Lytechinus pictus: one gene and its partner. The protein of the gene in region 1 interacts with the protein of each later gene in a pairwise test. Links are inferred from orthologs where the notes say so. Each region holds a gene or a part of one and is shown on either strand. Other genes may lie near its edges. The genes, in order: arf-GAP with GTPase, ANK repeat and PH domain-containing protein 1-like; general vesicular transport factor p115-like.

Region 1 (15,720 bases):
AGATAATATTCTCTATCAGCTTGCGATGCCATTCTTTCCCCCTGAGACTATCGGGTTAATATGACCTAGTAAATCCACTCCAGATCAATATATTTTGCTGCTGAGAAATAGAATCCCCTGTAACAGTAGTAGCCATGATGGAGGTCAAGTTCATGATGCACTCTACAACTCTCTATCAAAGACCTTGTTCACAATCACAATTTGTGGCTGGGCTGATAAAACCTTGAATCTCAAAATTAAAATTGAGGGCAGCTATATAGCAACGGTGGCAGTCTCATATATTGTCTGAAAACTGTCTCCTGATACCTGTGATGAACTCATTTGAGGCACAAGAAGGTTGCTACCCATCTTATAAGTTCTCTAAAATCATGCTTATTCTGAGCTGCATCAAAATATTTAAATTTTGAGATACAAGGTTTTATCTGTACATCTGTGGTAACTTTGCCATTATTGTATTACCATGGAAACCTTAATTGTGATGGACTGTTACCATGGTAGTTGCTATAATGGCAGAGTTACCATAGCAGTATGCACAACAGGCCCTTGAACCGGTTTTCAGTTCATTAAACCAATTCAGTGAGGCATTGGAACACTGTCACACTGAACCTTCAGAGCGATCTTATGATGTGTTCAATTTCCATTGTCACATTTTAATAGCATCATGAATCATGATAGAAAATGTGATTACAAACACGATCAGCGTTCAGTGCCGATACCATATTAGCCGACTATACGTTGATCGTCTTTGAATTTCCCGCTTTCGTTAGGGCAACTTTATTGTGCACTTTGACCCATCACCAAAAACAGGTCATTTCTGGCACATGCTTGTGTAGGCTTCCACTGCTAAAGCAAATGTAAAGATATTTCAAAACTCAATTGTGTTCAGTGTCACATTTACGATACTGAAGGTTTTGAAAATCTGAGCTGATCTCATATCCAAATGTATCTTTTTTGGCATTTAAATTTTCCTCCCACTCCGATCTGAAAGATATTTGCTTTACGACTAGGAATGGGGGACATTGAACACACCCATTGTTTCTCCTATTCCGTTAAACGTGTTTTTCAATCATAATTCATGTTGCTGTTTAAATTTGAAAATCGAAATTGAATACACGGGTCCATATCTGTTGGCTACTGGTTGGCTGCAGCAAAGACATGGTCGATGCAGTGTGCCAAGTACATTTTAATCACATTCTAGAAGAAAATAAAAAACAAATGCAGATTTCTTTTTTACTGTTGGCTGTTAACAATGTTAACCTGTTGGCTCCTGGAAAGACATGATCAACGCAGTGCGCACCCAGATTTACTCCATAGTTTGATCTGCGAGGGGGGGGGGGGGACTCGACCAAAAAAGTGGTAGGTATGTGCTGCGGGCGAGGCACAAAACGGGGGCTGTGGAGCGGGCTTATTGTAAAAAGGAGGGTCCTCGAAACAGGCTTAGGAACTACAAATGTTTGTGAAGACGGGGGTCCTTGGAACGGGTCACCTGCGTGTGAGTGCGTATGCATCCCTATGGAACGGGCATACGTGCATGCAGCTAGCTCGGCGGCACGGGCGCCAGGTGCGCTCAGGCAGAAGCGATGGTCGAACAGCGTTCTGTGGCTGCTTTTCACCAAAATTGCAGCTCATTGTAGCAGATCAATGCGGTCGGAACGGGGTTACAAAAAATATGCGAAGCTTTGGAACAGATTTCTTTCTTTTTTTCTAGATGAGAAGAAGATGCTATGCTTTGGAGCGGCTTTAATGTTCTTTTTCTCAATAAGATAAAAATGCTATGCCTTGGAACGGAAATTTGAGTGTAAAAATGGGGGTCCCCTCCGCGGCACATACCCACCACGCATTATATACTGAGTGCCCCCCCCCCCCTTTCCAGGGTTTGATCATGGAGCTCCATGGTTTAATCCAGGAATACCATTCAGTATTCATAACCACAACCATCCTGTATATCATACGAAGCTATTTGGTATGAATCTTCAACCAAATTCATCAGGCATGCCTAAATTCATTAATAATGCATGTATAACTCCAAATGACCAGGTATAGTGCTTGATTTAATTCATTACTCATCTGAAGCATTGGTGTATTGATTACAATACAACTTGATGCTCTTTCATTCCTATCTTTCCAGTGTTATAGCGTATTGTTTTGAAGTCGGGAGATTGTAGAGGTTATGATACTGAGCTGTCATTATCCATAAACCAAAAATCTGTACACAACACTGATGCTGTCCATGTTGAAAGTAGGAGAGATCTTCGAAATTTCTCTTTTTTCTTCAAAAACTGTTTGCTTTTTTTCTAATATCACAGATAAGAAAACAGACACCATTAAACATTGGAAAGGAAATTCTTTTGTTTCAAATTTTCTTTTTAAACTTGATTAAAATGTACATGTACATGATGATGACATTCTCTGCGTTGACATGTAATGGGGAATTCCCTTAATTTCTCGGAAATGCTTGGAACTCCCCTCAAAGTTGTCAGGATCATAGGTCATAATTAGTTTTGCTTTGATTGCAGTTCACAAAGTGTGAACTGCAGAGTCATTAATTTTTTGTTTTGCTTTTATTGGTCATTATTATCATATGATGTCCTTTCATTTCTTATGTACATGTATGTTTTGTAGATGAAAGTGGACTTTCTATTCTGCTATTTTTGGAGTATGATTTAAACATTTCTTAAAACTTTCGTGTGATTTAGGTTTGGTTATTTCCAAACATCATTTTCCAACATGACTCTGATAAAGAAGGTTTATAGAAACTTGTTGAGAACAATGGGCATTTTAAAGGGTAAGAACTTCATCATTTTTTATTGTTTGAGGATGATTTTACTTTGAAAATATGCATATTATGCATGTAGGTATAAATGTAAGGTAATGATTACACAAATTTTGAATTCAGTGCTAGATGAAATGAAAGATTATTCTGGAACACATGTACAAATGTGATGTAAAATCTGATAGGCTTAAGATTAAAGTTAGCTATTTTGGGGGAAATTATTGGAAATAATTTGGGTCTCCAATAATAACAAATTGCCTTTTTTTGTAAAACCTCTTGAGCAAGATTAAAATAGGATTAAAACTCAGGATGCACTGTTTGTATTAAAATTGAATGTCTGTCTGATGAGTGGTAACTAAATAAATCAGTGTCTAAAGAGCATTTATTTCTTCTTTTTTTATTTTTTTATGAAGAGTTTTCAAAATAATCAGAGCCTATAGTTGAAAAAAAAATATACAGTATGTTCAACAGTTTGTCCTTGTAATGGCAATTTCAACTTCACTTCTTGTGGTTTAGAAATTTAAATATAAATCTAAAAAATGAATAAAAATCTACTTTGAAAGTAGATTTTTACTTTCCAAATTCATAAATTTTAAGGAAAATAGTTTAGTGAATGTCTGGACGAACGCTTGAAAAATGATATATGTATTTGATGTATAATGTTTGATTCTTTTTAAAAGTTTCATGAAAATTCTGAATGTCTTAGTAAGAATAAATAATCAAATATCTAAATATTGTATTGTTTTTTGTTGTTTCAGAGGGTTTTACTTTCTTTCCTAATTACGTGCCAGCAATATCTCCTGTGTGTCTTTGATTATTTCGAGTATATTTATTCTCTCTTCAAAATGTAGCTTTTTTCATTTCCCTGATTTTATTAAAATATAACTCTTTTCAACCCTTCCTTTTTGTGAGGAATTGAGACCCAGTCTCCAGTTGAAAACCAAATACATCCACGGCTCCACCAGAATTGAGGAATTTCCCATGGTTTTTAGTTACACCTTTGGACACCCCCCTGAATAGAAAACTTGAAGAAATGAAAACACATTTGCAAGGACTATTTCTGTTTATACTGTGGATTAAAGGCACCATTGTTAGAATTTCCAGTGGTAGCTTGCTTGAAAATTTTCTTCTTTTTGTACTTTTTTCAACAATTCATTACCCTCAAGTCCCAAATGCCTCCCTTTTATATTTTCTTCACTAAAAGACATTGTGTTCTTTAAAACCCATGGTTACAACATTTTTAAGAACATTTTTGTTCAGCTTGGTTTGTTATTTCTTTTAGCCTGTAGCTTGAATTGCAATGGTATAAAGTAGTATTTTAGTAAAGCTTTGAGCTATGCTGTTCTCTTATTTTCATATTTTGATGCAGAACATGTAGTTGTAACCTTACAAAAATTGATTTTATCATTTCAGAGTTAGTGGATACAATTTTTTACTAAAATTTAATGATTACAAACATTATTAGTCATAACAACTAAATAACAGTAAGATATGGAACATGATACAAGTCCTATTTTTATAAGAATGATTACCCTTTCTTGGGGGTGGACAAATTACAAATATTTTTGCAACTGATTTGTTGCTTTATCTGACCCAACTTTAGAGTTGACAAAGTGATGAAAATGAGAATATTTCTAGAAAGATAGCTTAGTCAACACCAAACATTTGAAGCTTGTTTTCTTGATAGTTGTTGTATAATTATTTTATCAATAAAAACTGAATTATATAAAAAAAAAATTGAAGCTATGATTTCTAATGGAATAGAAAGCAACGGGAAGGGCATGAAGAGAATAGCCGGATGAAGGATTTATGGAATGTTTATGAAAAAATATGTTTTATCCTCCAAATTACTTAAGCAGTTGGTATTGTTCACTCTTGTGGAAAATGATTTATTCTGAAGTGAATACTGGGATTTGCTATGTTGATATACTGAGTTCAGCTAAGGTCATGCATGAAATAATGAAAATGAAAATGAAAACGTTTTACCGAACGTACTATTGGTTTTCATGATTTAGTGCATGTAATGTATAGGTCTTATTGATTTGCCTGCAAATATACTAGTCATGGCAGTTGGCATAAACGCTGGGGAAGCAAATCACCGAGCTGTGTATATACTATTATGTGTAGCCAATAACCAAATCTCAGAATTTTGACAACTCTAATTCAAAAGTTGCCAATTTGTTTTTAAATAGAGATTTCATTGTTTTCACAGCATTACCAATTTATGAAGAGTAGCTGAATTTAATGACTTCTCTTCAGCAATGGTAAAACCCATTGCACTGGAAATAATCACAGGTTTTTTTTAATATCTAGATTAGTATAATTCTCCCATTCTAATCATCTTCCATTTTAGGCGGTTTCAGAACGCCTCGAAGTTCGTCAGTTCTAGGTATTTTCTGATCGGGAAATCTACCCCGATCAGAAAATACCAGGTAATATTGGCAATGTGAAAGCAAATTACGCGTAATCTCCCCGAAAGAAAATACCCACTAAATAGTATGTACTTGTAAAAATTACGAGAACTATCGCGGGGATTTTTCCAAGGTCGCAGGTATTTTGGCAATGTGAAAGCAATTTACGGGAACTTTTAGCCGAGCGTGTAGTTGGGCGCTGGCGCCGTGGGTGGCTGCTGAGCTAGTGATTTTGAATCTCGCGCCTTGCCTGCTGATCAGACCATACTGCGCATGCTTGTAACTTCAGGAACTTATCCCGAAGGGTATGTTTCGGGCGGTGTGAATGCAGGAATAATTAATGGGTATTTTTTAGCCTAAAAAAGTTCTCGTAATTTAACGGGGATTCTTATGATCGAGGCGGTTTTAAACCACCTAGTGATTGCAATAGAATTCAGGAAAAAAAATGGAAACTGTAAGAACTAAGTTAATGTGGACGAACTGCACCTCTATGCGCTTTATATAAAATTTCCACAAGCTATTGTATAATTGTAACACAAAAGTTGTTTTTAAAACATAGAAATTGCATATGGTGCACTCTTTTATGATTTTTTAATGATATTCAGTGATGCTTTGGACACAAGGTCAATGAAGAAAAAAAATGTTTTTCTTAATGAAATTCTCTGTCAGCCATAATTCAATGAAAGTTTTTACCATCCAATTTTTTCCTTTAAATTGATGTCAGTGATGAAAATATCCAAATAAATGAAACGAGACTCTTTATATCAAACATAAAGCACAAAACACATCATGTTTACCTTTTCTTCTCAATTGCACTGGTTTTGCTCGAAAAATTATTTGATCAGCGTTATGATTCACTGAATTGGCGACAGCTGTATTTTCCTCGAATAGGAATTGACAATGAAGAGAATGAAGAGACATTGACTTTGACATTTCTCCTGCATTGCCAATTTAAGTATTTTAGTGATAATTTTTCTTCAGACATTTTTCAACATTGGACGAAAAAATACTCATTCAATAACATTGGCAAATATCCAGCAAGTGAAAAGATGTTACTCTTTATTTTGTAGCACAATTGGTATGGCTCTGCTTCAAAAGTCATCATTAGGCCAAACCATAAAATTATAATTTGATTGAACAACTGTAAGTATTATACTTGATCATGAAATAGCAAGAAACGATAAGTCACTCCCACTTAGTAAATCAATCACATTAAACATACCCAGTGTATGTGCCCATACATCAGAGAAATGTCTGCCACACATGACTCTGATTATCTACTCTTTTGGCATTAGGTTCATATTCAAAGTAAATCCACAAATGCCTTATTTGTTAAAGCTTATTAGAAAATATGTTGGTTTGGGGCTTTCTTTTTCTCTCTTTCTTCCCTTTTATCTTTTTATTTCTTTTACAGCTTTGTTAGCTCCATTTTCATGTCCATGACAGTTTTTTATAAACCATGACCCTCAGATTTCTTTTTTTTTGGGGGGTGTACTTCATTTAGTTTATAATCATGATGTTAAATCAGAATTCTTGTAAATGTCAATTCATGTCATGCTAAATATACAAGGAAAGAAAAAACAATATTCATAATTTGTGAAGTCGTCATGATTAATTTCTTTTATTCATCGCTGTTGGATTTTTTATGATAAAGTTTCATTTGTATATGCAAGTGAGCTGTACATACCTTGATGCATACTCTATTTCTTTTATTGCTTTGATTCATAAATCCTTTCTTGATTGTATGTCCGACTCTGCCTACATTTTCTTCACAAACTTCTCAAGGTGTGATCGTTTAACAGCTTTACAACTTTTCAGATGAGTTAAATGAGAAAACATAGATAAATCATTTTATGAATGTGCTAATCGATGTATATTCAGGGATTTCTTGGAATTGCAAGATGAAATTAAGAAAGGGAAAGTAGAAACTCATACCAGATATCAAGAGCCTTTAGAAAGTGTCTATCGAACCCAATAATGTTTGGATTGCTTCCTAACAAGACGCTGATAGGTCATTATCAGACTCTACACTACAATTAATTTCCTGTTTTGTTAAGGGGTCAACACAATCATGATGGAAGTACTTGATAATTTGTTATTCTAACAGGCTGGAAATGTGTTTGTGATTCAATGAAATATGTCTGGCAGACTTAAGAGGCTTTGGTTGCCTCATTTCATTTAAATCGAAAATGATGAGTGGTTCAGACATTTTTAATAATAAAAAGAAAAGGGAGCATGTTATTTTTCTTTCCTATATATTTAATTTGTTCATCTAAACAACAAGATATGTGTTCAAGATCATCTAGTATTTTTGAGTTGTGATTTTGTGGAATATCTTTCAATGCACAGTAATGATAATGATAGCTGGATTTATAACATTTTTTTCCAAGGGATACAAATTGCAACTCTCCCAGATTGAGTGCAGCACAACGATGATAATAAATTTAGTGTTGCCTTTGAATTGCAATCTCGTGATTAAACCAATGTTATATTCTTCTCATTCAATCTCAAGGGAAAGTCATCTAAAAGATTGTTTCGGCTGCTGTTGCATAAAATTTATACTATTAAGACAACTTTACCATTTAGTGGTAACTACATGTACCACCATGGTAACAATGCTTTACAGCCTGTCAGAAACAGAGATTTCATGGGAGGTGCCATTGTAGATGGCCAAGTTAACATCCATGCAATGTGGGCCCTGATCAGGATAATTTGCCTAATCAGAAACAGAGAGATAATTTTCGTTAAACACAGGTTGGTTGTGATAGGCCTATAGTATGATTAAAGTGTTGTTGTAAGGCCTGGGGCCCGTCTTACAAAGAGTTGCGATTGATCCGATCAATTGCAACTATGGAAAGCCAGCAAAGTCAACATTTCAAGTTCAAAATTTGTTCTAGATATGAATGTATATCCATAAATTCATTGATTTCTTGACAATTTGGTGTGTTCTCATAATTTGTTTACAAAGGACATTTCACAAATTTCCAGTAGAAAAAATTATGGCACTGATGGATTTCCATAGAGTTACGATTGATTGGATTGATCGTAACTCTTTGTAAGACGGGGCCCTGATATATGAACTGTCATGTGTAGTCTTCCTTGCAAAACATTCAAATTTCTCCATTTTACAAAGTGTTTTCATATCTTCTTTTGATGAGTACACACGTATCTGCTCAATTGTTACTTACACCATTTCCTGTTCATTTTTGCATCTTTATAGAAATTCTTTTTCATCTTTTCACTTTTTTTTCATTGCTGACAGATTCATTTGTGAACAGCCAAGAATGGACACTGAGCAGAACAGTCCCAGAACTGAAATTGGTAAGTAATTTATTTATTCTTGATATTTGTGTAAACTAAAGTTCTTTAATCTGTTCAACTTTAAATGGGTAAAAAAACAACTTATAAATGAATAATAATGGTAATAACTTAAGTCTTATATAGCGCTTTTCATGAAATCCATATCAAAGCGCTTTACAATGTAGAACATAAGAAATATACAAACAAAAGTGAATTAGAAATAAAAGAACAAAAAAAAGTGCAAGATATGTATTTATTATTTAAATACTGACACCCCCACACTCACAAAAAAGCCCACTAGATCAATGTTACCACCACCTTTCATTGCCTACATCATTTTATGATGAAAATGACAGGCATTTATGCCATTTATCTAGAAATTAAGTATTCCAAGGCATTTACTGTTATTACCCTGGCATTAACCAGAACTGTCATTGGTTTGAGTATTTTGCATAAGATTTTTTTCTGCTTTTAAACTGGCATTGAAAAATATTTCCTACATATATCCTATGATAAATCGACTACCTAAAATCTTGTGCATCTTGATGTATTATTTGTTGTCCAAACCCCAGATGTCCTTGTTTATCGATTTCTTCTAGCCTGCGTCAGGGTTTTAATCTCATTGGCATTTAGCCTGATTCCCCACCTCTTACGTCAATGCAGCTAATAAAGAAGAGCCTTCACGGAGAATTCTTTGATAATGAAATCTACAAATTTGTAGGTATAAGATAATTGAGTATTTCTCTACATGGATAGATGGCTATAGACATGTTTAGCTGATTGATATATGTCTCATTCTGTCTTTAGCATCCTCTTTTAGGAGAATCTATGTACTAAAACAATTGTACATTGTTGTCAATTCAATCACTCGTACAAAAATATTCTGCTATGGTTGCTAATCTTTGTGTTAAGTGCCCCAGGAGCAGAGAGGTAGTAGTCTGCTATGCAGACTCTGAATGGCTCGTGACGTGGGATCTCAGCGCGCTTCGCGCAATCCAGCCTGCAAGGGCGAGCAAAGCGAGCCATTTCTGCAGCCACAGTAGACCTAGTCTGCTATGCAGACTTCTTAAATCAGCTGTGATACACACACTGCAGATGTGGAACTACATTGTAGACTAGAGAAGTAGAGCCAGTCAAGTGAAATTTTAGCTTAAGTTTGAAAGGAAGTGGAGAAGTTAGTAGTCGCCATAATCATTTTCAAACATTACTTCAAAGATAAATGCATTAGAAGGAGACATGCTTCTCTCTTTGAACTATAACTGCCAGTACTAATATTTTATTTGTTAGATATTTTGAAGAATGTGCATCCGAGGCATTGTATCAAGGCCAGTCATAAACTTGAGAAGAGTATTTGATATCATGGCTCATGGCATTATCCATAAGAATTACTGGTACCGGTTCATTATTTATATTGACAGTATAAATGCTTTTTATAAAGATGTAGATAACTTAATTTGAAGATTTTAGATTCAATGATAAGCATTATGATATGCGCTAGTATTATTCTCATATCTCAGAGTTGGTGAATTACGATAATAAACACAAGATCTTACGACAATATTTTCTTTTCCTGTGTCGGTGCTCCCAGATGAAATCTCATATTCCTTTTCAAGTTCATTTTGACATGTCTGTGTTGTGACAAGCGTCCAATGCTAGAGGGTATTGGTACTCATGCTCGGAAGAAGATAAAGTGGTGCGGTGTAGGACTCGATCCATGCTTAAACATTCTAAGCTAGTATGAGTGGTACTGGGTGTTAATAACAAATCCTATAGATGTCTTCATTTCGGCATAAAGTTGAAGTCATATATCGATTTATTTTACCTATATTTTTCCTTTATGATTTTGATGATAAATAATATTCAGTTTTTGTATATCACAATAGTTATATTCTCTAAGACTATGCACTTCCAAAGGCACCTTGATATACAAATAATACAATGAGATTCTTAATTAAGGTACATAATGTAAATGTATCCTGAAAGTATGAATTGTACTCCTTCATGTTATTGTGTCAGAGAAAAATAACTGCAATCGGGCTTCATAACAAAATGGATTCTAACAATAACAAGGATTAGAGCAACATTTCAACCGAGAAATAGAGTCATGATCAGTTTTTGTTACACAGTGAGCAAGATGTCTTCTACTGCTCACCATTTTTCAGTTGTTTTTAGCCTCTTTTCTCTGAAGAGAATAGACTGCCCTTTTTGTAGAAAAAATGTGTTTATTTTATTGCTCTTATTCCAGCATTTTGTTACCCTTTTGAAAACAACCTAAAGATTGTGAAGTTTGTCTTTTCCCATAGGAATCTGTATAAAAACGGTGAACTTTGTTGTTTCTGTATTAAATGGTACAGTTGTGTCTTATGTGTTGGAATTATGCTGACCATAGCCCAGTGTTACTGGATGGGTCTACTCTAAAATTTGGTAGGAGCATGTGGGTCATAGTCAGAGAAAGACTCTCTATCTATCCACAATATGACATTATTAAAGATTTTAAGCAATCTGTGAATGTTCCCAGTCTTAGTTCTATAACAATTCTTTATTAAGTTTTGAATAAAACCTTTCGCAGGTTAAACATGTTCTAATTGTGTATTCCATGGTCATATCAAACCATGGTCATATCCATGTTTTGACATAATACACATAATGGTTGTGTTGACCAAAGGCAGCCATTTTGTGAGATATTTTGTGCATCTAGGTGGACGAGACGACCCTCTCCCATAGATTTTTGTATGTGTTGTGTCCCCCATCCCCCCCCCCTTTTTCCCCAGAATTGCCATTGATGTTGTTGACATTATTAATATATTGTTACCTTTTAACAGGGTGTTGTGGGAAGCTTAACAAGCGGGAAATCAGCTTTGGTACATCGTTACCTGACGGGATCATACATGCAAGAGGAATCTCCAGAAGGTAAGCCCAAATCATACCACAGTCACACCTACGAAACGGACTCCGAACCGACCGATCGTATATGTATGTCATAGCATGATAGCCTTGGTCAGGCTGGAGTCTGTTTGCTAATGTGACTGTCCTGTCCTCGACTGTAGCGTCATGTTCTTAGCCTAAGTTGCTTATTTCTTTCAAAGATAGCAGCATGCATCATGGTATTGCAAGAATTAAAGATAAATTCCAGTTGTGGGAACGATCTCAAAATGACTTTTTCCAGAATTTGATATAAAGATCACCAAAGTGTCTGTTTGTATGAATAAAAAATATGTGCCAAAGGATTCCGGAAGAAATTGTGTAATTGCTGAGAAATAAGCAAAATAAGCGCGGATTCGGTCACTTCCGTCGGGTCTTTATTCCAGCAATAATAATACGCTGTCCCACGTGTGCCTATCTGTGTTGGCGATCTTCAGTGTGATCGTTTTTTAGCTAGATATTATGATTTCACAAAGTTCAGTTTATGTAACTGTACCAGATCTAGATCCACGATGATATATCAATACTTTACCTTGGTTTTACAGACTTTCTCACGAAATCAGTGTTTTACTGCAACTACGTTCAATCAGCTTTAATGCTGGTACAGGGACTGCACTACAGGGGGAGGGGGCACCCACCCCTCTGTGATTTTTCAAGAAGCACCTCCCTCCCCCCAAAAAGAGGGAAAAGAAGAAAAAGGAAGAAGAAAGAAAGAATTTGCTTGAGAACAAATGACATTACCTCTAGAATGTCTTGTCCTGTCCCTTTGCTTGTATGTGTATGTAAATAAATTCATCATAAAGTTTGCAGCAGTATACGTGGTAATAAGTTTAATAATTATAACAGTATATTAATCGAGGTTAGCCGGTTCCGTTCTGAAAACCTGTCTCCCAGCGGACCCTGCTTTTATTGTGAATTGCATAATGAATTGCATCATAAGTTTTATAACAGGTTTACCACCTCAAACTTTGTGATACGATTTAACTGCTTTTACTAACAGGTGATTTTCAAATATTAAAACAGGCAAAATAAATCCACAAAATGTGAAGAATATGTATTATTTATTCATTTTGTATTTTTTAGGAGGGAGATTCAAGAAGGAGATCGTTGTGGATGACAGGAGTTACCTGCTCCTCATCAGAGATGAAGGAGGCCCTCCTGAGCTCCAGTTCTGCTCCTGGGTGGATGCCGTCATCTTGGTCTTCAGTGTGGAGGACGAGATGAGTTTTAACATGCTGTATAACTTCTATGCCAAGATAGCCCACTACCGCAACACGGCAGACCTTCCCATGATTCTAGTGGGTACCCAAGGTGAGTTAGTCTCAAGGATCTGGGTTCATGTGTGAACTAACCCTTTGCTTACTGGAGCCGGGTGATACCTGTACAAAGCCTATTAGAATCACAGCATCCAGTAGTCGATAGGTTAACCCTTTGCCTACTGGAACCTGGTGATCCCTGTACAAAGCCTATGGGAATCACATAATACAGTAGTCAACAGGTTAACCATTGCTTACTGGAACCGGGTGATATCTGTACTAAGCCTATGGTAATCACAGAATTTAGTGTCCAACAGGTTGGTGGATGCCAGCCATAAAGGCCCAAATTCACAAAGGTGGTTCTGAAGTCATGGTCTGAACTCGGGTTTATATAGTTTTCATGTCTTGATTACCCTTAATTTAGTGCTTAGGCCTATATTGAGAAAACATCCATTAATGAATGATTTCATTACAGTGCCATAAAATGATATTTGCTGCTGAGGTTACAGCATTCATGAGTCCACTGTTTTTATTTTGATTGATTTGCATAAAACAATAGAGTCATGAATGTTGTAATACGCATCAATTGTGATATTGTTATTCCTCAATATATGTGCTGAAATAAGCACAATTAGTGAAAAAATGAATAAACTATGGTTTCAAACCACAGATTCAAAACCATCTTTGTGAATTCGGGCAAAAAAGTTTGATAATATAAAAACAACCTCAACTACAAGTTGAAAAGCAATAAATGTCATATTTCTTCATCACGGTGAACTGTGTGCTTGACTCAAGCAAACAGATGTTGGGATACCAGTGCATTTGTCAATACCCTATGATATATTTTTTTGGTATACCTATCAGTGTTTCTAGCTATGATATTTCCAGCTTTTGTGGCTTGTTTATTCATCTTTCTTCTCTTTCATAACCATCTCTTAAAGTTAAAGTTCGTCCATTCTTTCCCCTTCAATTTGTGACTCATTCAAGGCCAAGGCATACAAGAATAGCGCAGTATTCTGAAGTGTGTGACTCAGCTTAACAGTGCAACCTTGAGTTCGAAAATTAAAAGGCACTGCATTTTTGTGAGCTCATTAGTGGGTCGATGTGAAAACACGATCAATACAATTACTTTGACTGGGTAAATTTGGGCTTTATTTGAAAAGGAAGATTTTGAAGAATGAACAGAAAGAGTGAAGGTTAACCTTCAAGGGTTTTTAAAAATTGATTTGCCACTTGCCACCTTATTGTTACCGTAGAAAGAGGTCGAAGGAGTGGTAGGCATTTGTTTCACTTCACAAGAGGAACACCTTGAAAGCAATGGTTTGGCTTTTTTTTACCGGCAGTGATGTCAGGTGGTGCCTAGTTGCCTACCTAAGTCATGAGATTTTGCTTGGGTCTAACAAATTTTGCTCAAGAAAATTAATTAATTTGGGGTGAAATTGAGACTGTAACAAATTTGTCATGAACAGTTCATATTATAGGTTTAAAAGTTTGAACATGAATGAAATGCAGTTTGTGACAATTTTTTTTTTTATTTGTGAGGAAGGAGATGATGTTGATCTTGATGAACACTATCTACATGACAGTATGATGATAAACTTTCGGTATGAACATATCAAACTCTTTATCATCATCATGTGCTGCTTATACATGTAGGTATGCCTCATTAGCTGTAAGCCACAATTACATTGTCACCCAGCTGCATAGATCCTGCAGTGTGGTTTGTGATTCCTCCTTTCTCTCTCCCTTTCTCTTTCTCTCTCTCTCTTTCTCTCTCTCTCTCTCTCATTCTTTATTTCTTTCACTCCCCATCCCCTTATGCTCTTGATTTTTTTTAAAATGTATAATTTTGCATTGTGAATTGTTCAGTATTCACATGAAGTGTAATAAAGATTTTTAAAGTTATCTAGTGCCCTCTCTTGGCATTGTTTTTATATTTATTTTAAAATGTAATTTGAGCACCAAATTTACCAATTTACCAACTGTATGTCAGAAAGCTACTGACAATGATTAAAATAGTAAAATTTTCAGTCAGTTAAATGCTTAGGGACAGGCCATTAAATGCTTGGGTAGATCTATTAAAAAGAAAAGATATGCAGATACTTTTTATTTTGATAAGGCATCCAGTCAAGATAAATTGCAAATTTTGTACAATAAAGCTAATTTTTAATTTCATATGCTCCACATTATAACTCTTTCAGGGCATAAGCTAGTATTAATTAGAATAATGAATGCTCTTTTGGAGAATTTACTAAAACTTAAAAAATTCTTCAACAACAAAATCATATAAGTGATTCATTTGATTAAAATAAATTCAACTTTATCTCCATAAGAAATAGAATTATTCTTTATGGTATGTACTTTACAAAGCTAAAAAAATTTGTATTTTTCTTAAACCCTTGGAACACAAAGGCTAGAAAACCGGCCGTGGAGTGAACTCACAAATACCTGAAAGGCCCGTGACTTGAAGAACATGGGTTCTAATATGATCTTTTAAAAATGTCATCTGGGGATATTCAGTCAATAACTTTAGTTGATAATTTTGTCAAGAAATGGCTTTGATTTGGAAGGTTTTTAGCGTTAAAAAAATTATAACTCTACTAAGGAGGCTCATGCGATAATACACAGTGAATCATCCACTGACTATTGCACTCTTGCAAATCATACTTCAGTCAAAGCAGAGATTTTAAAGATAAAACAGGCACAAAAGATTAGATATTGTCTTATATAAGAAGCCACACAACATCAGCCGGGCCGGGCTTGGGTACCAGCATCGGCAGATGTAGTCTAGTTCTAGACGATATTAAACGAATTTATTTGCACCGATATATACGTTCTATTCCGTGCGTACGCCCAGCCGAGTGTGCGCGCAAAACCGAGAACCTGTACTCCGAGGAAATATTTCCTCGGAGTACAGGTTCTCGGTTTTGCGCGCACACTCGGCTGGGCGTACGCACGGAATAGAACGTATATATCGGTGCAAATAAATTCGTTTAATATCGTCTAGAACTAGACTACGGCAGATGCCGCTTGGGCTCGAATAATGGAAATATTTGAA
Region 2 (16,339 bases), on another chromosome or scaffold:
CAGGAGTTACCATAACAGAAATAGAAACTGATGGTTCACTTATACAACTGCTTCTTTTCAAAGAGTAAATATGACAGACACCTAAGACTATTTCTGTAAACCATCAATAAACACAACCTTGGATTGTCAAGTATATATTTGTGATCCTATTACTTTTTCTAGATATATATCAATAAAAACTAAGAGAAAAAAAATACCTGTGCCATGAGATTGGTACACTGCTGGAGCAGTGAGACCGGGGGATTCCCCAGCCCGGTAGCAAGTTGAACTCTAAGAAGCTGCTCCTTCTGTGTGGGGTTGTCCTTGAGGGCATGTGCGAGGGCAACGGATGCGCACCAGTTGGACAGAGGGTCCGTACTGAAGAGACCACCACAAAGAAGCTGGCCTGCTGTCACTGCTGACACTGTGTGGAGCAATAGGGACGAGAAAGATAGAGAAATTGGGAGAGAGTGGAGGGTTAGACATTAATCTACACTTGCCCCTCCACTGAGGTGTTAGAATGGGCCCTAGTGCCAAATTAAATGGTGTTTGTTCAATAATGTGGGTGTATAATACACTGAGACCCTGTCATCGTATTTATAACAAACTAGTTTCCAAGGAAATGATAGACCAACTTCAGAATGCCACTGGAAAGGGTTTGGCAATGAGCCATTTATGATTGATCTCTCAAAAGCACTTGTGAAAGTGTTGGACAATCCTGACAGATCATGGCAAAACAGTGAAAATCACCATACCATCTGTTTAAAGTATGTAAGCAAAAACTGATCTTTGAACCTACCGTCAGCAGTAGCTGGTAAGAGTGTGGCAATGATCTGTTCCTGACCAATTTCATTCTTATAGAGGAAACACTGAAAGCAATACAAGACTGCACAACGTAGCAAGAAGGGCTGTTTCTCATTGACCATGGACATCAGAAGAACCACGATGGCCGGCCTTGGTGGGTTGGAAGGGGCGTTGACTGCGGCAAAGAAGTCCTGGTTGACACGGCAACCACGGATCACCTCCGAAACTGTGTTGATGGTCTGTAAAGAAGGTTCCAGGAGAAAGTCACTTGGAGACTTTTTTCATTATGCATTTAGTAATTGTTTGGGAATTAAATAAGAAAAAGCTTCGGCAATGCATATCCATATGAGAGATAAATAGAATCCCTGATAATTTAATTGTTTGCATGCACAATATTCTTTCAACTCTAATAACTGTTGAAATTAAGTGCACTGAAGGAAAACAGTTTTGATAACATGAATCTATATATTAAGCATACTATTAAGCGAAATGAATCTGAGGGAAATATTCACCTCTGTAAGAATATCAGCTGGGACTCCACTGGCCATGAGGACATCACAGAGTAACTTTAGAAGACCACATTGATGGATAACCTTCTGACAGGCTCCCGTTGCTTGCTGAGGATTGCTTGGAGCAACAAGAATCCGCACAACCTAAAGGGATATAAGGAATCACACAGAGTATTTGTTGCTTTCTCATAAAATTTGCATTTTCACATCACAGGTGACATTCTCTGCTAAGTGCATTTGACAAAATCAAAATCTATTAATCTTTTCACTAAGATGTTAGGCCTGTTGTCATGAAAAAGTGGAATTATGACTACATATATAGTTTTCCTTCTAAATTTCTGGTAAAAACTGCTAACTTTTAAGCTATATCTCATTAATCAGGTATCTATTAACAATGTGACTACTAAGGCTGAGAAGTCTCTGTATCACCCTTATGGCAATTACAGGATTCAGTAGTAAATGGGTTTAAGACATTACCTGTAACATAAGATGAACATTGTTGACCTTCTGAGCTGACCATGATGAATCTTTCTGAATACTGAAGAAAGGAGTGATCCGCTGGATCAAGCTGAAATGAAAAAAAAATCAAAAATGAATTAAATAACTTTTCGTTTGTAATATAATGTAATTTCTACATATATAACATGACGTAATATTAATCAATTCAGTTGAATCTAAATTTCATATTTACCAAGGTAAATGAATTAAAAATCATTTTTGGAAGTCAAATATATGCCATCTAGAAGACATAAGCACTGCCCTGCCCCCAGTTGAATAAACAAGTACAAGTACACATCTCTTGAAAGCACTTTTCTCAAACAAAGATCGTGGGTTCGAGTCCACCCCGGGCGGATGACTGAAGCCAGTGCGTTGTGTGTAAACGTCTCTCCCATGTTTCATAGATGCAGGCTATGTTACAATGGAAAACACTCCGTCCGTCGGATAGGACGTTAAATGGAGGCCCTGTGTAGAGGAGAGTAACCACCTTTGCACGTTAAGAACCCACTGCACTATTCGTATAAGAGTAGGGGGAAACCCCGGTGTAGTGGTCCACCTGCATTCCCCCCAATCAGTTATATCGGGAGGAGAGACCTGCGGGTCATAGTGATTCAGTTCGCTTTTCGCCTCCCAGGCACAGGTGACGCCAAACAAATAATAATAATAATAAAAGTTTAACAAATCTGGCATTGCTGGCTCTCAGTTATATTTCAGATCCACTTGAATCACACTCTAAAAAACACCCAAGAAAAATTTAAGAAGAGACTCACCCTCCTTCCTTGAAGAAGGACTGGTTAGAACTATTCTTCTTCAAGAGGTTGATAAGCAGCAGGAGACAGTCTTCAACCACGATGCCACCATCGCTGCCACCTTCCTCTGACATGATCTCCAAAAGACGCTCAAAGGCATTCTCAAAGGCCACAATCTTCTGGATGTTGGCATTTCCTTTGGTCAGTTGGATCAGCAGAAGTAGGCCCTGCAGAGATCATAGAGCATGTTCGGATTTAATCATAGTATTAGTAGCTATAAGGCCTATCAATTCTAACTGTGATATACACTAAGACTGCCACCTACTTCTGACATGATTTCCAGGAGATGCTCAAAGGCATTCCCAAAGGCCACAATCTTCTGGATGTTGGCATTCCCTTTGGTTAGTTGGATCAGCAAGAGCAGGCCCTACAGATTTCATATGACATCTTAGGATGTAATCATAGTATTTTTAGCTTAAGGACTATCAATTCTGTGATATGCACCATCGCCACCATCTAGTTCTGACATGGTCTCCAGGAGACGCTCAAAGGCATTCTCAAAGGCCACAATCTTCTGGATGTTGTTGTTTCGTTTGGTTAGTTGGATCAGCAACAGTAGGCCCTACAAGATCTTAGAATTTGATTTAAAGCATAGTATCATTCAGTCATTCGCATATGAAAGGCCCAGTGTTTCAACTTTATCTACTACAAATATATTACTTGGTCAGAAGAATAAAGAATGAAATCGTAAGTTGACAAATAGTGTTTCTACAACAAAATATAATTATTGAAAGAAAAAAAATATATACAAAAAAAAATGTCCTTCATCATCATTTTACATAAGTTTAACATCATACATCATCATCACCATTTATTCCAGTCTGCATTTTCCATGCTATGAAAGATTACTGATTTTTGCACAATGACACTCCCTCGCTCCTCTTCTTTTTAAATTGCAAAGACGAAACTTACTTCTTTCCTTCTCCATCACATCTTATCATGTAATCTTTGGTCTCCATTTTCCTCTTATGCCATCTTTTACAGCATACAACCCACTAATTGTGCAATATCATGTAGACTCCCACAAAACTTAATAACTTCAACAAACAATTGGGAGTACTTACATCATTGCGAATGACCTCTCTGCTGTCTGAGAGTAAGTCCATCATCTTGGACACACCCATAGGACTACCCAGGACATACTGCTGAACCTGACTAGCTTGGTAGGAGAGTAAGGTGGTCAAAAGCTTGATGGCCGGCCATCTTACTCGGAACTCATAGTCCTGTGCAGAGAAAAAGAAACATAGAATAGTTAATAATAATGATAATTGGTATATGTATAGTGCCAGCTACCAAGATCTTCTAATATACTTTGAGGTGCACTATTGCTACTGCCCCAGCTTAAGATTGAGCTGCAATTTCCAGCAGGAACACATTCTGATCGGTCCCCATTCATCTCACCTGGGTTGAGTGCAGCACAATGTAAGTAAAATTACTTGCTGAAGGAAAACATGCCATGCCTCAGATTCAAACCCAGGACCCTCTGTTTGAAAGTAAAGAGTCAGAACCACTAGACCATGACAGCCCCCTTAGGCAATCATATTGACTACTGAATTCTGTGTAATTCCAATCGGCTTTATAGAGGGAACACCTGGTTCCAGCAGGCAATGGGTTAACTGAATGGCCCAAAATACCTTATCTGATTGATGATATAACATGAGAAAATGTTCTTTTATTAAGATGATGAAGATCTGACAAAGCCAGCAGCATCTGCAAGCAATAGCTGACCAAAAGAGATGAATTTCCCTGATTGTGTCATGTTAACAGATTTTTTCTTCTCATATCATTTTTACTCAAATGACTAATATTACAAAGGTTAATCATAATAAAGTAGCCACAAAAATAAAGACGACTAATGCAATTAGAGAAATACCGACTAATATATTTACTTTCATTGAAATTTTCTTAGTTCTGCCAAAATTATACATAATTCAAAGAATGCAAATTCCTGGAAGATGTCAGATATCGAAAGTATTTCAAGGTGAAGTCTCATTTAGTTTTCAGCAATTTCTGACAATCACAGAAACAGGCAACACCATAATGAAACAACTAAGAAATACAAGGGAGAAAAAAAGGAACTGAATGTATGAGAGAACAGTGCACCTACCTCTAGTAACCCAAGTACAAGTGGAATATTATTTGGATTCTTGATGAATATTTCAGCAAACTGGGCACACAGCTTCATCTGCTCAGGATCCATTATGTCACCATTTGGAAATTCTTCATCTGAAATTCAATATGTATCATGCTATGTGACGGATGTAATCTAAAATCAGGGCCCCGTCTTACAAAAAGTTACGATTGATCCGATCGATCGTGACTCTATGGAAATCCATCAGTGTCATAATTTTTTTCTACAGGAAATTTGCAAACTGTCCTTTGTAAACAAAGGAGAACACACCAAATTGTCAAGATATCAATCAATTTATGGATATACAATCATATCTAGATATATTTTTTGAACAAACATACATAATAAATGTTGACATTGCTGGCCGTCCATAGTTACAATTGATCGGATCAATCGCAACTCTTTGTAAGACAGGGCCCCTGATATACATGTACATGTAAAATTTACTATTGCAATATCTATAAACTCTGATCCTGCTCAATTTTTATTTTGGAATTACAAAATTCTCAAGCAGGGAATAGGGCAGAAATGTCAGGAAATATATCCCTATACATCTTTTAACAAAAGAGAATAAATGTTAGTGTTCAAATGGCTTTTACTTTGAAAATAACAATATTCCTGAAAAAAAATTCTTAATTTGTTTAATGTTTATAACATCACACACACAATAAATGGCCAAAATGGAAATATCAGTCCCTATATTTTTAAAGATTTGAATGTTCGAATAACACATTTTATTTACTCATTGATCGATCGATTCAGACATATTTTGACTAAATGACAAGATCAGTATATATATATATATATACAGTTTTTCATCCCAGTCCTGTTAATAATGATAACACTTACCTAAAAAAACATCAAAATCAAATTAATAACAAAGTTGTAGATAAACTTTAAAGACAGAGCATTTAATGAAATCTTACTTTGTTCCTCCTCCTCTGTGTGTGCTGATAGAAGATTGAAGAGCGTATCCAGAGCATAACCAGTGATCTCAGCATCGGTCCGGTCAGTCTCCAAGACATTCACCAATATATCCATGGCTTGGGTACCGACCTCTAGCCGATATTTCTGTCAATGTAAACAGATGAAAAATAATATCATTTCCCTAAATACATAACTATAAACAAAAATGAGACTGTAACAAACAAGAAAAAGTAATACTTATAAGAAATGGTGGATAGAGCAACATACATGTACAGTACATGGAATTCAGAAAGATTGATTTATATTCTCAACAAACTTCCTTTCATTAACATTGGAAAGTATGTTTGTAAAGAAATGTTTTTAAGTTTCACATAAAAGTTGGCAAAAGTATCAGTATTTTAAATATTTCCATTACTTTCCCCAACTTTAGCTGATTCAAATTGATATCACTTCACAAACTAGTGTACAACATTTTGTTGTTTTTCTATTTGTCTCTCATTTTTTTTTACATTATACCTAATCATAATCAGGCTTTATAACTAAAAGCAAGCATCAATATTATGGCTACAAAAATGCTAAATAGGGCACCGTAACAAAAATCTGTGCCACGTATAACTCTTTAAATGGCAATCCTTCTCAGAATATATTATAAGTGGCTGTCCGATATTTAGAACAAACTTACATTTATTATTTGGAGTAAATTTAAGACCATGGTGTCTTACCTTGGAGAGAGCTTTGAGAGCCCTGACTGCATCTCGTCTGTCATCCAGGAGCGTGGAAGACTGCACTCGATCACATATCTTGGCAATCTAGAATTATACAGGAGATATATTCATGCTATTACTTCTTTAGTTAAAGAAGAAATATAGGGACAGTCACATAGATGAGAAATAATCTTGAATTTTTTAATGAGTACTGTTTGGATAGATATAAAGTGGGATGCCCCTGGAAGTCTTGTCTACATTACACAATTCAACATTGTTCATTTTGTGACATTGTAATATTTAACATTCTAAGTGTTTGCTAAACCCTTTTAATGTAATCAAATTTGCATGTGAAATCATGTAAACACATATGAACTAATTTGAACGAGTATTTTTACGCCACCATCTCGGCCTTTGTAATGGAAAGTAACTAAGCAATACACATTGGCCGATTACTACATGTAAGCCAAACTCTGCAATTCAAGTTAGAGTAAAGTCCCCAAATATCGGACAGTTCCAAATATCCAACTAAAATGACTTCAACTCCATCCCCACAACTAAAGGGACCTGCAATGGTAGGGGACTTGTATGTAATACATTAATATACCTGCTATGAATTGCACACAGTAGATCCAGGTTGAAGCTTAAATAAATATTCCAGGGGTTAAATCCAGGGGTAAAATCCATGATTTTGACTTCCAAAGATTCTTATGACCCTCGCTAATTATGGACTCAGAAAGGTTGTAAGGGGGAAGTGATTTTCACTGGAAATATCGCCGCCGAGATTGCACATGTTCAATCTATCGCAAAAAACCTGCAATGGCCGCCGCAGGGGTTCCCCACAACGAGAATTTTGACACCCTTCCAAATATGGCACTCTCCCAAACATCGGACATATCGACCAATTAAATTGGAAATGCGTGCTGTTGACGCGCGCATGCTCGTTTTCAAAACGCAGCTGAGCGAAGACGTCCGATGTTTAGAGCCGAAAGAGGTCCATCGGGTAAGTAAATAATTATTATTTACCTATTTCTAATAGTGCAGTGACAATTAAAATTGGCATTTGCACAGCTGAAATAAGTTATTCTCTCAACAATCAAGCAATTATTTGGGGGTTTAGAGCGTGATTTAAATCGCTGAAATTGATCGCCGTGCACAACTCTATGTGTCCAACATTTGGAAACTGCATCCGATATTTGGCAAAAAACAAGCTTCTGGTAATAAGTAAATAATTTCCGCTCACCATATTTTTTTCAATTCTATTTTTTATGACATTAATATTCCACATTTGTACTACAGAAATACACATGATTTTTATTTGATGCAATAATTGTATTTTTTTTTGGGGGGTCCAATTATGATTAAGTGTCCGATATTGGGCACTTTACTCTAAGACTTAGTTAACTTCATTTTTTTTCACAAACTTTGACAAAAATCCTAGTTAAGCAGCTGCAGTGCAACAAAGACCAAAGTCAAAGAACAAGATTTTAAGAAACATGGACCTTATGAAGGTAAATCCATCATCATGTATTAAATCAAAACAGAAACAAAAACTATAGTTGGGTCTACATCCAAACTAAAAGTGAACAGTTGAAAATAAGGTGTTAAACAATTAGAGTCTAGGCTACATGTATTTGACATTTTAATATTACAGACAGGAATTGTAACGCATGGGACTGGCTCATAATTTCTAAATATCATTCGTGAATATGTGCATGTTTTACGGCCCAAACAAATGGATATAGAGAGCTGAAATTGATTAACTCATTTCAACATACCGTATCTGCCCCTGACTGTTGATTTTCTGGAGTGTTTCCTCCCAAAACCCGACTGAAAAAGCTCATTTTCCTGGAAAATTCAGTTATTTTGCGAGTCAAGAAAGGATTAAGTGTGGAACACGTAGCACAAAACAAGTGCAAATTGTAAACGTAGATGGCGGTATTGCGCTAAAGACAGAGTTAGTTGAGGTGCCGTGGCCGAGTGGTCTAAGGCTATACATGGAAAGTGGTCTAAGGCTATACATGGAAAGTCCGGGGTTCGATCCCCGGCCACGGTACCTATGCCCATGAGCAAGGCATTTAATCTACAATGCTCTTTTATCCTGCTTTCAAATAAATGGAAATGCTATATGCATTATTGGAAACTAGATGTGCACTTGTTTTTTTTTTTTAATTTACTACTCTGGCTAAAGAAATTGGTCTTCACAGTCTAGTCGAGTCGGGGGATCTCTTTAGACCATAGAAATATATCTCTATGCTTTGAACACAAATGGATTGATTGATTGATTGATTGATCGATCGATCGATTGATTAATTGGTTGATTGGTAATATAATCAAGTATAATCTTTATGATGAGCATTCAGCCGAAGTGACCATAATTAAGACAAACTTAATTCCTTTGCCATATACGCAGTGGGAGTTTACTTAGCTGGGATTATATGATCATTTTTGCTTCTTTCAAAACTCATTTTATTGCAAATTTAAAAAGAAAAACCAAAACTGTGCTCCAGATTTATTTACATAAAAAACATGCAACGATCCCTCCAATTCGGCTTAGTCGTTACGCTCTTGTCCTCCTTTTTGTATAGGCCTAAAGGGTCTGAGTGTTTTAAACATTCCGCCTGCCCTCCTCCCCCCTGGAAAATAATACATTCACACTACCATGGAAACAATATATACATGTATGGGCCCTAAGTTTTCTTAGTTCACAAAGCCAATTACAGGGAAATATATACACTGCCGTTAAAACAGAAGTGTGCCCCCCCCCCCCTTGAAAGTGAAGATCTTTTTTTTTGCTTGTCAAATTTTTTTGTGAACGTAATTAATGTGCTAACTTCCCCTTTCGAAAAATCCTGGATCCGCCCCTGTATATATAAAAAAAATATTTTTTCTTTGTATGTTTTATCAAATTAAATCAACATAATTTACCAAATTGAAAATGAATATCGGGAACAGGGCGGCACTTGAAATTGTCTCAAAATTGCTGCACATCAGAACCCCCTGTTATAAAAAATAGTTTCCAGGGCCCTGCAGTCATCCCCCTCCACACACACACACATTCAAAACCGTTCACCGGCCCCTGTACAACAACTTGAAAGGGACAAATTTGTCTTTAACCGAAAAAAAAATACCGTAAATCATTTCCTTCGTCTACATTCAGAAATAATTGTTTGCAACATTTTTCCCCCTTTCTCACAACTTTCTTATGAAACAAATTAAACAATGAATATAAAATTACGATTTAGAAAATCAAACTTAAAATTCTAGGAAAATATAGCAAAATAGACAGTTCTATTGATCTATTCTAATCTAGTTAGGTTAATATATTTGTTCATCCTTTGCTCGTTTAATAATCCAACAAAACTCGACTCCGAAAATGCCACGCCCACCCTAACAAAAAAGTACCGAACACGAGATCTAGGGTAGCAAAATGATTAGTCTGCATTCACATACGTATTTTGTTGATTGTCAGTGACACTTTTTTATTAATTAATTTCATGCAATCAAGAAGGTTATAAGCAGTTAGAATTTAAGTAAGGAATAAGGTTCATTTATGACCTTGTTAATTATAAACTTGCTTTATTATGAGTGATAATAAACAAGTAAGGATAGTGTATCGTGTATCATGATGATGACTAAATTATTCTTCAAACTAAGACTAAATAGCTTGCAGCAGAAAACGAGAAGTTGAGAACTAAATTTCTGCAAGAAAAATAGCTGAAACGGGTAAGTGTGCCATTTATTTTGTATTTATAGATCATTTTATATTACTGAGATGTCAATATTTGATCCACTCTGTTGGAAAATATGTGAAATTAGTTAGTGTTTTGGTATTTGATTTGCAAGATCCAAATTAAACATATTTTTTGAAAACATGATTTTAATCCAGTCCCACATATAGACTTTCATATGGTAATATAAGAAATGCGGGGATCGAACGTGAAGTAGACCTAACTAACGTTAGGCACGCGCCTTTTAAGGCTGACGAATACAATTATGGCTTTGTCCAGTCATAATTTGCAGCAGAACTATGCCAACTGGCATGTCCCATGACGATAGTATGTAGACTCTAAATGTCATTCAGCCTTGCCGTAAATGCTTATTAATGTCGTGTTAAGCCTATTATAAGGCTAAGCCTGGCAAAAATAAGATATATTCTGACATAAAGCGTGGGAAACATAATGATAGATTTGACAGAATCAGATCTAATGTTATTCGCTATGATGGAAGAAGTTAGATATTGTGAAAACACCATTCACTTGACAGTGGCTCACATAAGTCCTGACATTCATTGGTTTCTTATTTCCACTCCCATTTGTAGTACACAAAAGTGTACATTAAATTACACTTAAAGAAAAAATATGTGGATTCCAAATTATCAAATAAATGACAACATGTACTATATGAAGGCATGCCAACAACATCAAATAATATGCGAGGCTTTTTTTTTTGTGGCACTGATATAATCAAAAGCTTCAAAAATATAATGCTTTTGAAATCCAAAGATATACCATTTACTGTTTGAATATTTTGTATTCAAAGGGTAAACAGAAATAGCCATCTTATTATGGGAAATTGAATTGATACTAATATATTCCCAATGAATATGGAGCCAGACATTAGCTCAGCAGAACAACAAATTATACAGAGACTGCAGTCTTTTGTATACAGTTAAAGGGAACTCCATGCTGATAAAAATAATATGATTTCAACAAATATAGGCCTATAGACAAGCCTATAGATTTATGAAAATAAAATATACTTTCAGCCTGGCCAAGTACCCATTTAATGGTAATGAGCTCTTATTTTTTTCAAACAGGAGGGAAGATGGCTATACTCTCGGAAAGATTCTACCAGGTTGGTAATACCTTTGTTGGCCTACAGTCATTCCCTGTTATGATCATATACCTCATCCTCATCGCTCTTTCACCGCTCTACCAAAGAATGACCAAGCCATACTCTCTCAGACAAGTAAGTTCAGTTTGACTGTCCTATATCAAGTTCATGAATGACCTTGTTTTGTTTTTTCCACCTTCCTGCGTCAAAATAGGCTTAATCATTTTTTTTCCCTTTCAGGAATGGAGGAAAACTTTCAAAATCAGTAAAAAAAATCCTGTAAATCCATGCAGATAAATATCAGATCATCTAGTGTGGCACTTGTCGAACTCGAACTTACATTTATACAAATATTTTAAATGTAATCATCATGATCATGTACTCCATTATTTTTTGTTATTAGAAGTTTGGCTTATAAGATGCCTTCACATACTTCCTAGATATTTTTGTCAATTTTATATATTATGAAATTCTTAACTTACATTGTTTCTTTTATTTATGCAGAAACCCATACATGCAAAGTTAGAAATACGGATGTTTTATTTTTTTTGTTTTATAGATCATGGTAGTGTATAACTATACTTGTAGTTTTATCAGTGGCTGTACTCTGTTGGGATTCATCGTTGGAATGGTCAAGTCCGGATCCATCTTCAGGAAAGAAGGAAATGATGTACTAGAATACAGGTAGCATAATGTTTGAAATGATTCAGCAACAAGATTTTAAAATTGCTCCACACTATACACATGTAAAACCTATTCTTATTATCACCTCATGATCTTCATTACAATGTTCATTTTATTATTTAGCCTATTTCTTGACAAAGAATTGCTCTTTTGTTAACAATGAAAAGTGATTTATTTATATCAATTATTCAATTTCCTGATATCAATGATTTAAATCTTGATATATGAAGAAAAAGGATAAAGTGGTAAAATATGGCTTGCCATATGTAGGTCAGCATATGCTGGCTGAAATGTCCTTGCTGAATGTTTTCATTGAGATGAACTTAATGTGAGCTTTGAAGGTTTGCATAGTGGTAAGACTGGATTGAGAGGTTTACGGTAACACCATTTAAGTTAGTCCTGAAAAAGACTGTTCATTTATCTTTCGGTTATAGCTCTTAAAAGAACTGATATTCTCGACATTTCAAGCACAAGAGCTCTTTGCTCTTCTCAGGAGTCACAAAGATAAACCAGCAGTCTTTTTCAGGACTAACTTTAATACATTGTGTTACCGCAAGCCTCTCCATCCAAGATAAACTTAATAATCTGGTAATGATGATCGTTAGATCAAAGCAAGACTTTATTAGGTCTTTTCTAGGAGGTCCATGGTATTAATGGAGAATATTTGCCTTGTAACTTGCAGTTACTTCATGTACTGGTGCACCAAGAACATTGAGCTCCTTGATACGTTGTTCATGATCCTGCGCCACAAGCGTCGTCAGATCTCTTTCCTTCACGTCTACCACCACGCCAGCATGGTCCTCCTCACAGACTTTGCTTACCACTACTCTCCCTGGGCCGGAATTGCTTTCGGCCTCTCCATCAATTCGTTCGTCCACGTCTGTCTCTACTACTACTACGGCTACACAGCCCAGAAGACACTGCCTGGTGCTCCGACCTGGAAGCGCCACATCACCGAGCTTCAGATCACACAGTTCCTGATAGGTTTGATTCATAATACTATAGGCTACCTCCATCATGGTTTCTGTGTGTATTCTATGTTCTACGGTGTTAGTATGCTCTATTTGTTCTCATCTTTCTATTACAATGCCTTTTTACGTAAACGTAAAGGAGAGTAGAGAGATTAATTTGTACCTAAGATAAATAGTTAAACCAATTCCAAATCAACTCAAAGTTATTGGCCCGAATTTACAAAGGTGATTTTGAAAACCCACGGTTTAGTCCATGGTTAATGCACATTTCCTGTATAAATTATGCTTATTTTACCACGTTTATAAAAAAATGTCCAATGCTGATAAGTGCTTTTGTCACAGTGCGCCAAATTGACGCCTGTTGCCATGGTTAAGTACGCTATTTCATTCATGAGTCCACTGTTTGAAGAGTGGACTCATTAATTAAAAATAGTGGAATCATGAATGAAATAGCATGGATAACCCTGGTAACAGGCGTCAATTTGGCGCACTGTGACAAAGCATGCATCAGCATTGGACATTTTTTAATAAACACAGTAAAATAAGCGTAATTTATACAGGAAATCTGCATAAACCATGGACTAAACCGTGGGTTTCAAAACCACCTTTGTGAATTCGAGCCATTGAGTCTGACCATGGAGTAATTAAACCAGAGGGTAATCTGACTTAAAACATGCCCATGGCAGTCTTGGTGTTTAGACTTACTTAGGCATCTAATGTTTGTACATTGCAATCAGTGTTGTCACAAGTACGTTTCCAATGATGGAAATTTCATGGTGTGGTGCGCCCACTGCATGCACATTCTATCTCACTGAATCTGGCAGCATGGGCATAATTTTGAGATCATGACTCGTGGAGTAAATGATTGCTCTTCAATTGGGGTTGATGTTACATTGAGTGCCAGTAAGGATCTTTGAATGGTGAAAGTTTAAAAATACTGAATGCAATATTAACTCAATTCCAACTACACGGTAATTCATCTGTGACCCACTGCCTTCACTAAGTGCATTATTCCTTTGTTTAATTACAGGAATGATAGGCTACAATATGGAACTCAATGGCCCGTATTCTGAAGTCAGGTTTAACTTAGACCATGGTCTAACTCTGTGCTAAAATTTTGGGGAGCCACAAACTAAAAAAATCTGCTTATATTGTATATTTTTTTATTTACTATTTTGTCTCCCTTTGCTTTCATAATGAAGAAAATATTTCAGTTATTATTCTGAGACAGATATGAATAATTTCAGTGCCATTAGAGTTGATACATTAAACATGTACTAAGAGAGGTTTGTGCCCCAATTGGCTCTCCATAGTTAAACCACAACTTTAAACCAGGGTTCAATTTAAACCCGAGTTCAGAATACAGGCCAATGGGTTGAATTACTACAAAAGAGAAGAAGAAGAGAGGGAAATTGGGCAATAAGAAAAAAATACTATGCAAATCTGTCATACAATCAAATTATAATATTTTGTTAACTTTAGAGAACTGTATTGGTGCTGATACTACAGGGTGTAAGCATGGTTCTAGCTTCTAGCTTAAGATAAAAAAATACAAAAGTTTCTGTAATTACAGTTGACTAGCATTTATCTTTCATTTGAAATCTAATGAAAAGAGATATAACAAAGGAAGAACTTTCATTTTCAGGGTGTAAACATAAATATGAAAAACAGGATGCCTTTTTAATCTACCTGTAGGGACCAGATATATAAAACAAATACTCTATGGCGATGTAGGTCATATGAGTCGGCTAATTCTTTTGAGGAACATGATGAACAAAATATTGTTAGGTTTCATGGCACAAAAACAGACTAGATTCACAGGGTAGACTTTAAACAGGGGAAACTCGTACAGGGGTTGTTGATATTTGATCATTATTGTCTGCAATTGAATTATAGCCTTAATATTCTGCAAGATATTTTGGCCCGTTTGCATTAACATAATATTTTTGTTGTATGTAATTGTCACTAAAGCAATTAACTTTACAGAAATCTTGATCTTGATTCAGCAATGTTACAATAGGGCCGTCTGCACCAGCCCGAGATTTCAAATTAGTGCGCTATTTCTGATCCGGCAAATTATCCCGATCTGAACAATCTCAAGATTATTTGTAATAAAGACGCAATTATCGCGCTAGTTCACAGGATTAATCTCGAGACTTAGCCCGCTAATTCGCAGGTGCAGACGCACTCAGGATTATTTATTCACGGCGTCAGACCATAGTGCATCGATGCCTCGCTCGAGCAGGAATCGCTCTTCTTGCGCTGGTGGAGACGGGGTTTCTTGAATCTCGAGATTAATCCTGAAGAGGGCCGATCGGGACCGATCGGGCTAAAATCTAGGGATTGAGCAAACTCGGGCTGGTGCAGCACCGCCTAATGATAGTTGCCGGTAATGGTGAAGTTGCTATTATGTTTACTTGAAAGATTAATGCAACAGAGTTATGACTAAAGAATTGTCACTTTTATTCTCCGGGGGGGGGGGGGGAATCAGTTACTTGATGCAGGGAATTGTTAGGGCTGCATAACAGTTACAATGTGAATGGCACGTAGACTAGTATGTAACAGTTAAGTGCCTTTGTTTTGAATGCATTTCTCTTTGGAATAGTTACATTACTATCTTTACAGTACATTTACTTCACATAACCATGTTTAGGGTCCAAGTTCCAATCTACGCAATAACAAATTTAATTGTAATAAAACTCAAGAGAAAATACTTTTTATGATAAAATAAAGATTTATTTTGTAAGTCAAATTTTTTATGGCGATTTTGCTTAAAGATTGTGGTCTTGTAATAATGATGCAAATTTTATTGTCCATTTATCTACTAAGCTTTTCATTATTTTGTGCTTATCAGAAGGCGATTATCAAGACAGAAAGTTCAGTTTGTTTGCTTTATTTGTTTTTATGAGCTAATTATGATTATTCAATTCAATATCAGGAAACTACGGTCGTCGGTTTTACCTTTACCTACATCGTTGGGTTTATTACAGCCCCACCTCCCACATCTCGCGCAAATCGTACTCTAAACACGTAGTGTTGACTCTTGGGGCAAAAAGTACATCCTTTATAAAACATTTTAGTCTTAACTTTTTATACCCTCGCAAATTTGACCCTAAACAAGTAGCTTTCCTAGCGAAAATAGATACCCTTTTTTCATTATTTTAGTTTTTTTGACACCCTTATTATTTTACGTACGTAACGTGCCCTATCTTGAAAAAGACATCCTTTTTACGTGTTTTTTTGGTCGCGCATGGTATCCACTCGTCAATTTAAGTGGCCCCCCCGGGGCACAAACGATGACTTGAAATCTGCTGAATGGCTTGGTCCATGCATACATGTAGGTGTCGGACAGTCAGTGACTGTTACCATGGAAACTTTTAGATTAAACAAACTTTGTTCAAGGTCAAGTGCAATCACCCCAATCTCACATAAGTACGCTACATACCCCATCAAAACAATGTTTCCTACATGTCACTCCAAAGAAATA

The links.
Region 2: the proteins of arf-GAP with GTPase, ANK repeat and PH domain-containing protein 1-like (region 1) and general vesicular transport factor p115-like interact in a two-hybrid assay, tested with the Caenorhabditis elegans proteins (2 studies listed by BioGRID). The link is inferred for Lytechinus pictus from reciprocal best matches to the Caenorhabditis elegans genes cnt-2 and uso-1.

What each region holds. Positions count from the first base shown.
Region 1 is NC_087247.1:13,569,169-13,584,888, reverse strand, and holds the start of arf-GAP with GTPase, ANK repeat and PH domain-containing protein 1-like, read left to right. Parts: upstream 1-8,449; 5' UTR 8,450-8,505; intron 8,506-11,306; 5' UTR 11,307-11,372; coding exon 11,373-11,394; intron 11,395-12,489; coding exon 12,490-12,717; intron 12,718-15,720.
Region 2 is NC_087262.1:22,086,873-22,103,211, forward strand, and holds the start of general vesicular transport factor p115-like, read right to left. Parts: upstream 8,298-16,339; 5' UTR 8,206-8,297; coding exon 8,140-8,205; intron 6,467-8,139; coding exon 6,380-6,466; intron 5,802-6,379; coding exon 5,657-5,801; intron 4,826-5,656; coding exon 4,707-4,825; intron 3,823-4,706; coding exon 3,664-3,822; intron 2,767-3,663; coding exon 2,561-2,766; intron 1,861-2,560; coding exon 1,770-1,860; intron 1,437-1,769; coding exon 1,296-1,436; intron 1,023-1,295; coding exon 779-1,022; intron 404-778; coding exon 198-403; intron 1-197. Other genes in the region: very long chain fatty acid elongase 5-like, read left to right, coding at 11,189-11,332, 11,757-11,881, 12,564-12,999.